Caenorhabditis elegans: one gene and its partner. The protein of the gene in region 1 interacts with the protein of each later gene in a pairwise test. Each region holds a gene or a part of one and is shown on either strand. Other genes may lie near its edges.

Region 1 (7,679 bases):
ATATTTTGCATTTTCTTTACCTCCAAAATGTTCATTGACAGCGTATCCACTAGTGTTGATTTATCGATGGACGCCCTCCAGTTATCATTTGAATAAATGATGCAACTTGCAATTAATCGAAATAATTCGTTAGCATCTTCCATATTTGACTTCAAAACTGGCTGTTTTCTCTGAAACATTTCAATATTCGTCTGATTTTTTTTAAAACTCAAAACTCACATAAAATGCAAAGAATCGAAGTGCTTGACAAAGATCATCGAAGGTGAAACCGGATAGATTTGTGAGATCATTGAGATAGTTCTGAACAAAAATTTATGGTTCTTTTGTGGAATTTCTTAAAACTTACTTTGTACGGATTCAGCAATACTGTAAAATTAAGTCCTCGTAGTGCACGTACTTCCTGCAAGCTTCGACATGATTGATTTTCGTTCCTTCAGTTTTTTTTTCTGATCAACTTACCGTTTGAAACGTGTTTTTCAATGATTTGCTGCGTTGTTTCGAGGAGCAAACTTCCCAGAGTGTTGGTGGTGCGTTTGGCGGAAAAAATCGCTTGAATTTTTGCAAGTTTTCTTGAAAACGACGCTGTGGAGCTGTGGATGTCGATGGCACATGGGGATCGACGCGTGAAAACACGCGGTACGACATTTTTGAGCTGAAAATAGTGATATGAGGATTGAAATGACTTGAAGAAAAGATAAAAGCAAAGAAAACTAGAAATTAAGATTATTAATACAAAAAATTTGGCCTAAAAACGATGGGAAATTCGAAAAAATACAAAAAATGATGGGGTCAGGAAGTGCGCTCCATTGGACTAATAGCAGAAAAAATCGATTTTCAGGCGTTTTCAGATAGAAATCCATGCTAATTTGTTTTTTTTCGTGCCCAGAAATCTTTTGTTATGTGTGAAAGGGTGCTTTTAAATTGTTCTAATACCCATCAAAAACATAATATAAAGAGTTATTCGTATAGTGAAAGTGCAAGCGGCGTTTCAGGATTTTTATAGGAATAAGTTTAGCTAATTACAAAAAAAAATTGTTTTTACAATTAAAAAATTGCGACAAATTGAGGAGAAAAAGCTCGAGCTTAAATTTAAAAAAAAACTTTAAACTATTTTAAAGTTGAACCAAATTTTAAAAAAATGGGCAGGCGTTGAAAAATGGAAGTTTTCAAAATACTATGCGTTTCTCTTCATTGAAAACAAATTTCGTTTGAAAATCAAAAAGTTTTCATGCAAAACTAAAATGTCACAGGTTTCTGGTTGCCATAGCCATCAGCTAGAAATTCAAAGAGCGCGTGTTGGTGGACGAGGAAAAAGCGATGGTGAAGGAGAAGGCGGGTAGAATAAACCGACGAAGTGGGGGACACGGCCGAAATGACGGCGAAAGAGTGTGTGAGAAGCGGAGAGTGCAGAGATATAGAGACGAGCGAGACTCCTTCAAACACACTCCGCTTCCCCCAACATCAATTCGAAATGTGTACGTTTTAATCGATACTTTTCCCTATTCTTTCCAATAACTTTGTTTAATAAGTACATTAGATCATAGGACGTCATTTAAGACGTATTACACTTGCTGTAAACAGTAATGAATGAGAGGTTCGCTTTATTAATTTCTACTTGATCTTTTTTGGCAATTTGAAGGGCAGTAAAAATATATTGGCAAATTAAAATCTGTGGTTAGAAAACACGTAAACGTTTTAAGTATCACAATTTTTACAAACAGTTGAAAATTAAAAGGATGTTGAATTAATGATAAAATATCGTTGTTCGTGAGATTTCAGCGATTTCAGAAGCTTTTCGACGACTTGGAATGCGATTGTTGCGGTGACAAATGGTCCGAATATGCAGTAAAGTGAAAAGAGATCAGTGACCCAAACAAAAAGACAATGTTTGGTGCCACGTACGAAAAGAGTTCGAAGATGTGGATGGAGAGATGATAATGATGAAGATCGACGCATTTCTGAACGAGCAATCCATCGTTCGTCACGTGTTATTAGGGGAATTCTGAAATAATAGAGCGCATATAATTAATGGAACATTTAGAGGCTAACTCACTTTGAGGCTGACATACAGACTTGCTTTGAAGAATGATTTAAATACAAAAACGACCAAAGCGATTCGGAATTCGATCCGATTTGTGATATTTGATAAAGATTCGGCGTCTTCATCGCCTGTGCAAAGTTAACAAAGAACTTTTGATTATTTTCCAACTTCGTCACAATTTGTTGTCGAACTTCCTTGAGCCCATCGAAATGATCTCGTTTCACCGAAAGAAGCACAATGCACACAGGAATATCTTGCTCTTTATTGCACCATGGATACGATATGTAGGCGTAGAAAAATCCTGTGTCATTGAACCGTGGCAGACAGATTGGAACCCAATTCTGGGAGTCTGTTTGTAGAGTATTATCAGAGACAAGGTTGATGACAATGTTCAAATCACGAGGATGAATCATATATTTCTGAAACATAAATCAAAAATTAAATTAATCTCTATTTTTTATCATCCCACCTTAAATCTAACCATCGCTGCGATTTGCCTTCTCGCAATCATTATTCCGAAAAGAGCACCATCTAATTTCGCTGCTCCAAGACATGAAGCCATCGTTGTTGATAGAAATTCCCGATCTGATGGATTCATTGGAATTGCCGAAATCGAAGAATCGACAAGATTGATCGGGGAGGCTCTCCACGAAGAAATCGATGAATCAATTAAACGATCGGTTCCACGAAGAAGTTTTCGAAGATCGTAATTGTCACCCTTTTTCTTGTATACATTTTCCAATTGACTTTTGGAAAGAATCGAACAAATCTGCTCAAAAAGGACTTCCAGTTGTTGATCCAGTTGCTCCGGGTATTTTGAGACTGAAATCGTTGAAAGTTCTATCAAAAAAGAGAGAAATCAACGCGAAAACGCGCTAAACAGCGAATTGAAATAGTTCCGCCTCCGAACAATTGGTCTCGTTAGGTTCGGCGGCAAAACTGTAAACCCAAACGTTATGCTCTTCGAAAAATTTACGTTCCAACAGTAACAGAAAGCATAAAAGACGAAAAAATCTTGGCAATTTGCCAAATCGGCGAAACGAACTGAAAACATTTGAATTCTTGATTTAGCCGGTAAATTCCTAACGAGACCCATGCTTCGGGGGCGGAGCGCGTTTCCATTGCATAAAATTCTTACCAACGCAGAAAATAAGCGGTGATTTGTGTAAAAATTGAATGTGATTATCCTGTGACGTCATCGTCATCAAACTATCACCCCAAGATTGGCATCGGCTCACAAATGCACAAATTAGAGCCACCAAACTGACGATTTCACCCTCATTTCGATCGTTGCTGTAATTTTTAAAGAAGGCTTTGTGTGTTTGAATGGATAATATTTGCAAATTCTCACTTTACAAAAATCGGTTTTCCAAATTCGCTCAGAATAAACACCTGAAATGGAAGTTGCTCAAGATGTTCAAATATCACATCAGCATTTTTCAAATTCTCTTCAACATCTTCAATCTCTACTTGTGACACTTTATAACTCGCTTCACTTCCAGTATCGGCAGCTTCTGATCCACCAGGTACTTCTACTTCCATTCTGAAAATTGGCGAGATTTTTCTGAAAATTTCATGTTTTTTCAAGAATTAAGTATTGCTGTGGATTCAAAAAATGAGAACCAGACAGAGAGAAAATAAAAAAATAATATGGGAAACTGAAAATTAAAAAATTATTATGCACAAAGAATATACAAAATGCTTAATTGGAAAATTAGATCAATTGAAATTTCAGCAAAAAATACAGAAAAAAAAATGCAATGGTTTCAGTAACAATATCTACATATGCACACACGGATTCAATAGAAATTTTAAAAAAAGATATAAATCTACAAGCCAGTTCTCTCCATAATAGTTTGCAAGTCTCTCTGAAGAATTATATTTTTAGAAAGTGTCTCTTCAAGCATTCTTTGCAGCTTTTTGTTCATTTCACGGACATCTGAATCTCGGGAATCTTGGCCAAGTGTATTGAGCAGTTTTCGGAATGACGCTGGAATAATTTTCAGTATTTAAAAAAATGAAAATTTTAGAAGCTAAACCTTCAAGTTTCGGTTGAACAGAAGAAGAAGAAGAAGAACCCAGATTATTCTGTTGTTGAAATCCGGTGCCAAGAGGTTTTTCGCGGATCAAATTCTCAATTAATTCTCCTTTTTCCGTCACTTCCCGTCGCAAGCGACTATTTTCTGATTCGAGTTGGAGAATCTGAAAGATGATTATTCCAATATTTCAAAGAATTCTGCAAAGAAGATCCTACGGAATCTGCATTTTCCGAATGAATCTTTTGTAACGTGGCTAGACGAGTGATAAGTTCAACGTTCTCCGATTCGATTGCCGACATTGATGAAACACTTTCGTTTCCGTCGAAAGTCTGAAAAATTTGATGAATATATGTTAGTCCTTGATTAAATGTGCTTACATGACTACTTTGCCTATCATTTTCTGGTGGAACCACATGCCATCCAGCTCTTTCTTCGCTTTTTCTCTCATAAGAATCAGCTCGTTTTCTCTCTTCTTTTAATGATTTTTGTAGCTCTTTCACAAGAGACATTGCTTTTTTCACTGCGAGCTTCTTGTCTTCTTCCGCTGATTTCAGCTTCTCCTCTAAACTCGTCATTTTCAAAAGGAAACATTCTTTATCCGACTCAAAACTCTTTTTAAGATCATCAACTTCCAATTGATAACGAGTTTCGAGAAGAAGTACTCGGTCTTCTAAAAGTTTTTCGTGGTTCTTTGCAGCTTCATTAGTGTTCTGTTGGATTTGAGACGAAAGACGATGATTTTCCGATTTTAAAACTTCGATCTTTTTTTTCAAACCTGATATTTCTTGTTGAGATATTTCAGTCAGCTTTAGTTTTTCTGATTGTAGAGCAGCAAGGTTTTTAGAAACGTCATGATTTAGTTGATTTTCAGAGACGAGTTTAAAATTCTCAGCTTTTAAACTGTCAATTTCAGATTTCTGACTCAACATTGTCTTTCTATATTCCAGATTATCATCAGAAAGCTTTTTATTTTCATCCATCACTGCATTGTTACTCTCCTTCATTTTTTCAGCAATCCCTTCATTTTCTCTGCGTAATTCTTCAATTTCTTTCCTAATTCGCAAATTTTCCTCGACAACCTTCTCCTTAATTTTAAGAATAGCTTCGGATTCTGAAGTTATTGAGAGTAAACGATCTTCAAGCTCGACGTTCAATGTCTGACAGTTTTCAAGTTCTTCACTGAGACTTGTAACTTTGTTGCTTATAGCAGGAATTGTTTCTGTAACCTTTTATACAATTAATTGTATTGAACAAAGTTGGAATAAAATTACCTTGACATAGCAAAACTTTTTCGTCTGTTAAATTTTTAATAGCTTCTTTTAATTGTTCCACTGTTTGCCTTTCTTCTGCTTCTTTTTCCAGAGGATGATCAGAATAAGACGACATTTGATTCTTTAATGTCTCATTTTGTGTGGATATCTGTAATTTGGACATTGAAAAGCTTGAATTTTAAATGTAAAGTTTACTGTCTTGAGCTCTTCAAAAAGGGTAGATTGTTGAAGGCGAAACTCTTGCTCTTGGGTCTCTAGTTTCCGCCGAAGCGACTCAATTTCTGCTTCATCTTTTTTCGAAGAAGATGCTCTGTTGATTAACTGAAAGATTTAAATTAATTATAATAAAAATAAACTTTTCCTCACCTTGCTAGCAAATTGCAATGCTTCATTTTTCGGAGAGTTTTGGTGTTGGGAAGCTGCTGCGTTCTTCTTTTTAATCTCCTCTCGTAACTCGTAATTTTCATTTTTCAGCTGCAAAAGTTGCTCTTGAACAAGAAGGAATTCCTCCTTCGACAAGCCACCCGACTCTGTCGCCATTCTGCAAAAAGTTTGCAACGTAAAATACATAAATTGGGTGTTTAGGAGCAAACGTTTAAAAAACGAACTATAAATCTACACAAGGCGGTTGGAAAAATCAAAGAAAACTTGATATTTCATGTTTTTGTCCAATTACTCTTATTGATGCATAACACAAAAACAAAAAAACATAAACAAAATGCAAAACAGGTCAGAACACACGCGACTTGACGGTAAAGTGCACAGATGGCCGTAGCCTTGAGTTGAATATTCTAGTCCACGGCCATCACGAGGACATTTTTTCCACAGGATTTTTTAGACTTTTAGCGGTTATTCAAACATTTATCGTTTAGTTTTCCATGCTTTTCGAAGATAGGCAGAAAAATCGATCAACGGTAAGAAAAGTATATGTTCGTACAATCATATAATCTATTTACAGGGTCCAACACTCATCGGATTCAATCAAACTCAAAATGAACATGAGAATACAGTATGCCCAACACATCCGGAGTCTTCGGATCGAATTTTGAAGATTAAAGAGGCATTAACAAAGACGAAAATACTCGAAAAATGCACTGTACTAACAAATTTTCTGGAGATCGACGATGCTGACTTGGAAGTAACCCACGATAAAAGCATGGTTAAAGATTTAATGGAATCTGAAAAGAAAACACAAGAAGATATTAATTCACAGTGCGAAAAATATGATTCCGTGTTTATGACAGAGGTATTAATTGGGTAAAAAGAAGCACAAAACGTTGAGAATAAAGTTTCAGAACTCGATGAAAGTTGCCAAAGATGGTGTCGCGTGTGTTCGAGATTTGACGAATAGAATCATGGCTAATGAAGCTTCGAATGGTTTTGCAGTCGTCAGGCCACCCGGACATCATGCAGATTCTGTATCGCCTTGTGGTTTCTGCTTATTCAATAATGTCGCCCAAGCCGCCGAAGAAGCATTTTTCAGTGGAGCCGAACGGATTTTGATTGTCGATTTGGATGTACACCACGGACACGGAACTCAGCGGATTTTTTATGATGATAAAAGGTTAAAAAGGATTTTATAGTGAAATAATAATTTTCTTCAATGAATTTCAGAGTACTATATTTCTCAATTCATCGCCACGAACATGGTCTCTTTTGGCCTCATCTTCCCGAATCAGATTTTGATCATATTGGATCAGGAAAGGGATTGGGATACAACGCAAATCTGGCTTTAAATGAAACTGGATGCACTGATTCTGATTATCTATCGATTATTTTCCATGTTCTACTTCCTCTTGCAACTCAGTTTGATCCACATTTTGTGATAATCTCTGCTGGATTCGACGCACTTCTCGGTGATCCTTTAGGTGGAATGTGTCTTACACCTGATGGTTATTCACATATTTTATATCATCTGAAATCACTTGCACAGGGAAGAATGTTGGTCGTATTGGAAGGAGGTTACAATCATCAAATCTCTGCAGTCGCTGTTCAAAGATGTGTGAGAGTACTGCTCGGATATGCTCCATTTTCAATTGAATTGAATGAAGCACCGAAAGAAAGTACGGTTGATTCATGTGTTAGCCTTGTTTCCGTTCTTCGACATCATTGGAACTGCTTCGACTATTTTCCGTCTCGGACTTCACTAAGATTGGCTCAGTGGCCGATGTACGTTGACTATTTGGGCTCAATTAGACCCGAAATCACCCCAAAACGGGCGAATTTCATTAGGAAAATTTCAAAGTTAAAAAAAAACCGAATTTCGCTAAATCTGCAGCAGGAATACGTATTTTATATTTTTAAAACTTTTAGAATGTATTTTTGTTG
Region 2 (6,463 bases), on another chromosome or scaffold:
TCATGGATAACGATGATGGATTGAAGTAAATGTAATGGAAATCTGGAGCTTCCGGGAACTTTTCGTCGCCGATTCTGAAATTAATGGAATTTAATGGAATTTATTGTGATATAATGTAAGTTTGAACTTACTCGTCACCAATTTTACTCGCTACTTGTGAAAGTTCGGTTTCCAAAAACTGATCAATATTTCGAAGAAGTCGACGACTGACAACACCATTCTGTGAAGGAGTGGCGCGAGATGATTGAGATGATTCTGGAAAAGAAAATAAGTCGGAAAAAGATTTATTTTGTTTAAAGGTGGAGTTCGGAAAATGTAGATATTACCTTAAAAGTAGTTTAATGTGCCGAAATATCACATAAGAAAGATGAGAAAAATCCACCAAATTTGGAAAAAATCTGATTTTGATGAAAATTCAACTTTTGCTAATCCCTTTATTTGAATTACCACGCTTTTGTCTCTAAACTCCGCCCATAGAACCGTGCCGCACTTCGACTTTTTTTTTCAATTTCGACACGAATTCTTCTTTTTTGTGTTTCTTGACTAATTTTTAATGAAGAAAAATTCAAAAATGTTCAAAAATATTTTTCCTATTTCAAAAGCATTTAGAAATCATTTTTAAAAACGTTTCCTTGTGTTTAGAATTTCAGGAACATGTACTTTTTTCGGGTTCGATACGATTTTTTAATTCTTTTGATATACAAAAAAATATATTTGATCATTTATGCCATTTTTCTATATTAAGAATAAAAAAACAACACAAAAAGACAAATTTGCGGTACAATTGCAAAAAAACGAGGCGCGGCACGGTTCTACGGGTGGATTTTAGATACAAAAGAGCGGCAATTCAAATTAGCAGATTAGCAAGAGTTGAAAATCGCTTTTTTATTTTCAATTTATTCTCAAAACGTAATAAGAACGTTTCGTTTCGAAAAACTATTTTTAAAAACTCACCAGAATCCCTTCTGATTTCTAATCCACCATTTGCTGGACAATTTCTGACAAACATGCAAACTGTTGCATTTAGACATCGATAAACGATCATCTGGTATCCGATGAGTTCTTCTTGAAATTCAGTTCCTTGATCGGAATGCAAATGAACTACAGAAAGTGACTCATCACCGAGCAACGGAGCATCTGTTGTTAAATCTGTTGGTCCTCGTAGATATCTTCCTTTTGAAGCATTTCTTCCAGAATGTTCAAGTTCTGGAGCCAATGTTGTTGGAAGCAAATTATGTGTCAAATAATGAAATAGTGATGGAAGATCGCGTTTCGAAAGTTGATAGTAGAGAAGTTTATCTTGATACAAGAACATTATTTTCTCGATAACTTGGAATTCTTCACGAAGTTCGGAAAGTAAAGAAACAACGTTCAAGTAGAGAGGACCAGACATTCGTAGAAATTCGACGCCTCCAAGATGATCAAGTAGTGGCATTTTGTGAACTTTCAGTAGTGGGATGTACTTGGAGAAGAAAAAATCAAGGCGTTCTTTGAATTTTGGAATGTCGTCGGGAACATTTCTGAAAGATATTTTTATTTTTATAAACTAGACTTTAACTTACTTGATAAAAGAAGAAAAAGTTCCAAAAAACATTCGAAACATTTTGTAGGCATCGGAAAGTATACTCCTAATCGCTGGTTGAAATAGAGGATAATCAGAAACCAATGATAATTGTTTAGAAATTGATACTCCAAGAATAAATTGATCGTCTTCTGTACGAATATAAACGTGCTCTGTTCTCTGCGTCGTCACAGTTCGGAAATCGAAACCATCTTCATTTTCACTAATTCTTTCACTGATTTCCCGACGGGAGGTGCTCAAGAAATTTTCTGTAAAGTTAACAACGGCTTCTGCGAATCCTGTTATTTCGGTCTGAAATTAATACAGTTATTAGAATAAAAAGTATTACGATATTGAAAACCTGTCTCTCTAATTGCTCGCCTTTCGGATGAAAATACATCACACGATTATGTTCTTCGCCTTCTTTTCGTCCTGATAATGGATGCGCCACGAAAAAGAATTCAAGGACATCTGTAAAAACATAATTATTTCGTTTTTTTAATTAAAATTCAATTACCAATGAATCTGACCACATTAGAGCAGGATGGCGGGTTTAATGACAAGTTGGAGAAGAAATACAATGGATTTGCAATCGACTCCATTCTGAAAAAAGCAAAATATATGTTTTGTACCGTGCAGTGTTAAAATTAAAATTAAAAATAAAATAAAATAAAAGAGAGAAAAAGAGTGTGTGAGACTAGGAGGGTAGCAGACATAAATGATTGACGCAAACGTTGTTCACTGACGCAAAACTTGATCACTGGCGCATGTCTCGATTTATTTTTTAAATCCTCCGCAAATTTTCTGCAAAACCATGCAGAATATATATATTGTTTATTTGTCACAAGAAAGAGATAAAATATTTGATCATATAAACATATAACTTTTAGACGACATGAATGAAAATTCTAGCTGGAGAGGTGGCAGTAGCTCTCAGCACGGTCAATCATGGCGCAGTGGCGATATTCCACTCCCTAGGGACTTCCCTCCACCAGGTTTGAATCTTTTAAACGTTTCAAGATTGTAAATCATTAATTTTTGACTTTTCAGAACGGCAGTCGATTCCTTCTCTGATGGATCCACCAGAGATTGTCGAATGGCGCAAGAAAATCGATGAGTTACGTCAAAAGATTATCGACAGTGAGCAGAATTTGAACGCTCACAGAAATGGAATGGACGAGCTCCTAATGGTGTGTTTTGCAAACATACAATCTTGTATCCACGTTTATCCAGGCACATCTTAAATCTGCTATTCGAACTTCTGAAACAATGAAAATTGAGAAGATGTTGAGTCAGAATAATCTGAACGTGGAAGATCTCAATTCCTATTTAGATGCAATGGCTACACCGAAATGCTCTAAAGATTTGATTTCAGTAAGTAATTTTTCAAAAAATAAAGAAATTTGACGAAAAATTTTCTTCAGCAAGCGAAAAAGTGGATTTTCGAATACTGCACAAGCGATCAGCTGAGAGAAATAATACTGTCTTTTCTGTTAAATAAAGTTAAAGATGAAGCATCTGGAGAATATCTACGACTTCATATTCTATATTTAATCAATGATTGGGCATTTCATTGGTAAGCTTAGAATACTGAACAAAACGTCGTTAAATACCAAATTTCAGTCAAAGAAAAAAAGAAGAAAATCAAATGAAAATGCTGGCTCGATACGTTCCAAAAATGTATGCATATTGTATAGAACTTTCTTCGTCGAGTGAGTTGAGCAACAAGTTAGAAGGAAAGCTTTTAGGAGAATGGGAAGGTCGACAATATTTCGCTGATTCTGTATTCAAACAACTCAGGAATACAGTTCAAATTGTTAGCACTGACAGAGAAATTGAAAAATCATCTTATGGAACAATTCGGGAGTCGATTCGAAGTAATCTGATGGCAACGTTTGATGGATATGAACAACAGCATGTCACATATTCCCAGCATATTCAAAGACAAATTGACGAAGTTGAGAGAAAAATTGATGGTGAGAAATAGAAATTTAGTCTGAAAATTTTAAAAATTGGTTCTTACAGAGTTTCGTCATGGGCCATCATCCGGACCTGCATCGCATCATCCTAATGCTCCACTGTCAAACATGAGAAGATCAAGATTTGATCAAGCTCCAAAACATTCAGCTGAACGACCACACGCTTCTGTTTCGAACACATGGAATCAAAATGACCAGCAGGACGATGGAGAAGATATTGATGGAATGCCGTTTGATGAGGAAAATTTGAAGCCACAGAAATCGTATATGGCTTTACCGGCTGGAATTATGACTCCACTAGTTTCGATGAATAGTGTCATGGTATGTTATGATCCGATATTTTGTCAATTTATATTTTATTTGATTCAAGTATGAACCATTGGACCCAGAAGAACTTGAAATGCCAGCATCAGTTCCACCGTCATCAAGACTACTTGCTGCTAAGAATATGTTCCACAAAGGTGTCGAAATGGATATTGCTTTGGCCGATGGAGCGTACGTTCTCAAAATCAATTCAATTTTTTATTAAATTAATTATTTACAGAATCACCGAAGATCCGACCAACTTGAAATACCCTCTTGAGTTTTTGGAAGAAAAGGCACGTATTAAAAAGACATTCGAAGAAAAACAAAAATGTTCTGTCGAAGAATTTATCACAAATCGACCATCTGCAACTGATCGAGAACGATTTGACAAAACAAGAAAATTGAAAGAAGAAGATCAAATTGAAAAAATTCGTAAATGCGTCGACGCATACTATGCTTCACAGGAGCCACCCGAAAATTTAAGAGAAGATTCCGAGGCGAGGCGTTCCAATTCACGATCCCCTCCTAGAGACCACAAGAGATCGAGGTCGCCGTCACGAAGTCCAAGCCCGAGAAGACGACAACGATCTTCATCGAATTCATCTAGGTCTTCGGGTTCTTCGTCAAGATCCTCTTCTTCTAGCAGAAAATCGTCTCCGGAAAGAGGAAGAGACAGTAACATTGGACAGCGAGGATACGGCGGAGGAGGTTTCAGTGAAAGGTTTGTTTGATTAATAAAAAAATGTTGATATTAAAAATTATATTTCCAGACCTTCGTTTGGATTCAAATCTGCCCAGGAACCACTCTCGTACGATAACAAAGGTGCCCAACTTATGGCTAAAATGGGTTGGGGAGGAAAAGGATTGGGAGCAAATGAAAGTGTAAGAATCAAAATATTTATTTTTCAGAAATAATTTTCCAATTTTTCAGGGAATCGTTGATCCTGTGTCTGGTGGAGAAGTTCGTAATAGAAATGAGCAATTTATGGGCCTTGGTCGTTCACTTGATCCATATGAGCAGTTCAGAAAACAACGATCTGGAACATACCACGACCGAGGAAGTTTTCACCGAAAATAGAATCTCTACGTTTTAAATTTATTTTTTTTGTTATGCAATAATTGTTGAGAAATCATTAATTTGTTTATTTTATCATCATTAAAATGATCTCCGAAACATACACATTATTAAAGCTAATGCGAAGCGATGATTGGCGACGTAGCCGTCTATTTTTTTACAGACATTCACAATCTTTTGTGAGTTGAAGCATGAGATTGAATTATTCAAGGTAGAAGACTGGACGTGGCTTGGGGCGAAGTGGGATCATTCGATGGGCAAAAGCTATCCAGAGAGCAGTGACGACAACTAACTGGGCGAATAAAAGCTCCCAAACTCTTTGAGGACCAAATGATGCGTATATTGCTCTGAAACAAAACAAATACTACCAAGGCGCGGAGTTTGCTATTCTTCCGCATAAAACTACTGTTCCCGGTCTCGATACGACAAATTTTGCTGATTGCAAAAAAGCGTGCGCCTTTAAAGAATACTGTAATTTCAAAGATGCGGAATTTTCATAGATTCTTCAAAGTTTTTCTCACAGATTTGATACGATTTGTATCGTTTTATTTGAGTTTTTTAGAGAATAAGCATATTTTATAGATAAATTATGCGCAGCATTCAAAGTTTGAAATTACAGTACTTTTTAAAGGCACACATTTTTTAGTTAACAAAATTTTGTCGTGTCGAGTTACCAAGTGAAATATTTTTTAGCAGAGCATTTCCTTCGAAGTTCAAGCTTACGTGCAAAGAACAGGAGCTACAACTCTCGCAAAAACTTGGGAAACGTCATAGAGACTTTGCTCCAATGCTTGGCCAACTGGATTGAATAGTTTTGAATAAAGCGTGGCATCTCCAACATTTATAAATGGGACACAACCACCAAAAGCTATAATATATCCAATGTAGAAGAACTGTAAAATCGTCAAATTACAGTAACCCTGAGAATTATCGCACCGCTTGAGATGTTTTTGGAAGTCCTAAACACCATGAATATAATGAATAATCACATCCTCCGTGAGTTCCATCTGTATTCACAACTACATTCGTTGGAATATACGGCCATTGATATGTTGTTAGAACATATATGATAAATATTATCAAACTAATTGTATTCACTTTTCCAATATTCAATTTTCGAGCAACATCCGTGAAGACAAAAGTACTGTAGAGAGATAGTGCGAAGACTCCGGCGATGAAGAAAATAATGGACATTGTACCGACTGCAGAATCTCTTTCCATATTAAACATCATCATCATGAATGCTGGAGCAAGTGTTTCAATTGCATAATATGTAAAGTTTTGGCAATATCTTGTCAGCATGCAGACGAACATTGCAAGTTTATCTGGTCGAGGCCAATTTTCATCGTCTTCCTGAATTTTTTATATAATTTTTTTTAAAATGGAAAAATGGAATCATCAACTATATATAAATCAATTATTCCGTATGTTCATAGTTTTTAGACTAAAAAGTGTTGTCTTTTGAAGTGATAACGAGTTGGAGTTAGGAAGATAATTCCAGGTTACTGTAGTGGTTCTATAGAAATTCTGAATTAAAATTTA

Evidence for each region. Proteins that work in one complex are often made in the same cells at the same time.
Region 2: the proteins of sand-1 (region 1) and ccz-1 interact in a two-hybrid assay, tested with the Caenorhabditis elegans proteins (2 studies listed by BioGRID).

Annotation. Positions count from the first base shown.
Region 1 is NC_003282.8:5,362,772-5,370,450, reverse strand, and holds sand-1 (Vacuolar fusion protein MON1 homolog), read right to left. Parts: upstream 3,585-7,679; 5' UTR 3,584-3,584; coding exon 3,393-3,583; intron 3,335-3,392; coding exon 3,180-3,334; intron 2,864-3,179; coding exon 2,511-2,863; intron 2,461-2,510; coding exon 2,054-2,460; intron 2,003-2,053; coding exon 1,729-2,002; 3' UTR 1,586-1,728; downstream 1-1,585. Other genes in the region: F41H10.3 (RNA-directed RNA polymerase), read right to left, coding at 21-170, 220-300, 347-400, 460-645; F41H10.4 (GRIP domain-containing protein), read right to left, coding at 3,871-4,031, 4,081-4,243, 4,296-4,409, 4,458-5,299, 5,352-5,499, 5,547-5,672, 5,718-5,891; hda-6 (histone deacetylase), read left to right, coding at 6,230-6,265, 6,310-6,597, 6,641-6,915, 6,966-7,520.
Region 2 is NC_003283.11:13,674,576-13,681,038, reverse strand, and holds the start of ccz-1 (Vacuolar fusion protein CCZ1 homolog), read right to left. Parts: upstream 2,165-6,463; 5' UTR 2,164-2,164; coding exon 2,079-2,163; intron 2,033-2,078; coding exon 1,923-2,032; intron 1,874-1,922; coding exon 1,563-1,873; intron 1,521-1,562; coding exon 955-1,520; intron 792-954; exon of another isoform or gene 642-791; intron 256-641; coding exon 132-255; intron 75-131; coding exon 1-74. Other genes in the region: tag-65 (CID domain-containing protein), read left to right, coding at 2,457-2,556, 2,612-2,751, 2,795-2,935, 2,986-3,137, 3,185-3,537, 3,587-3,861, 3,911-4,035, 4,085-4,567 and 2 more; F58G11.4 (MFS domain-containing protein), read right to left, coding at 5,124-5,268, 5,645-5,814, 5,858-6,274.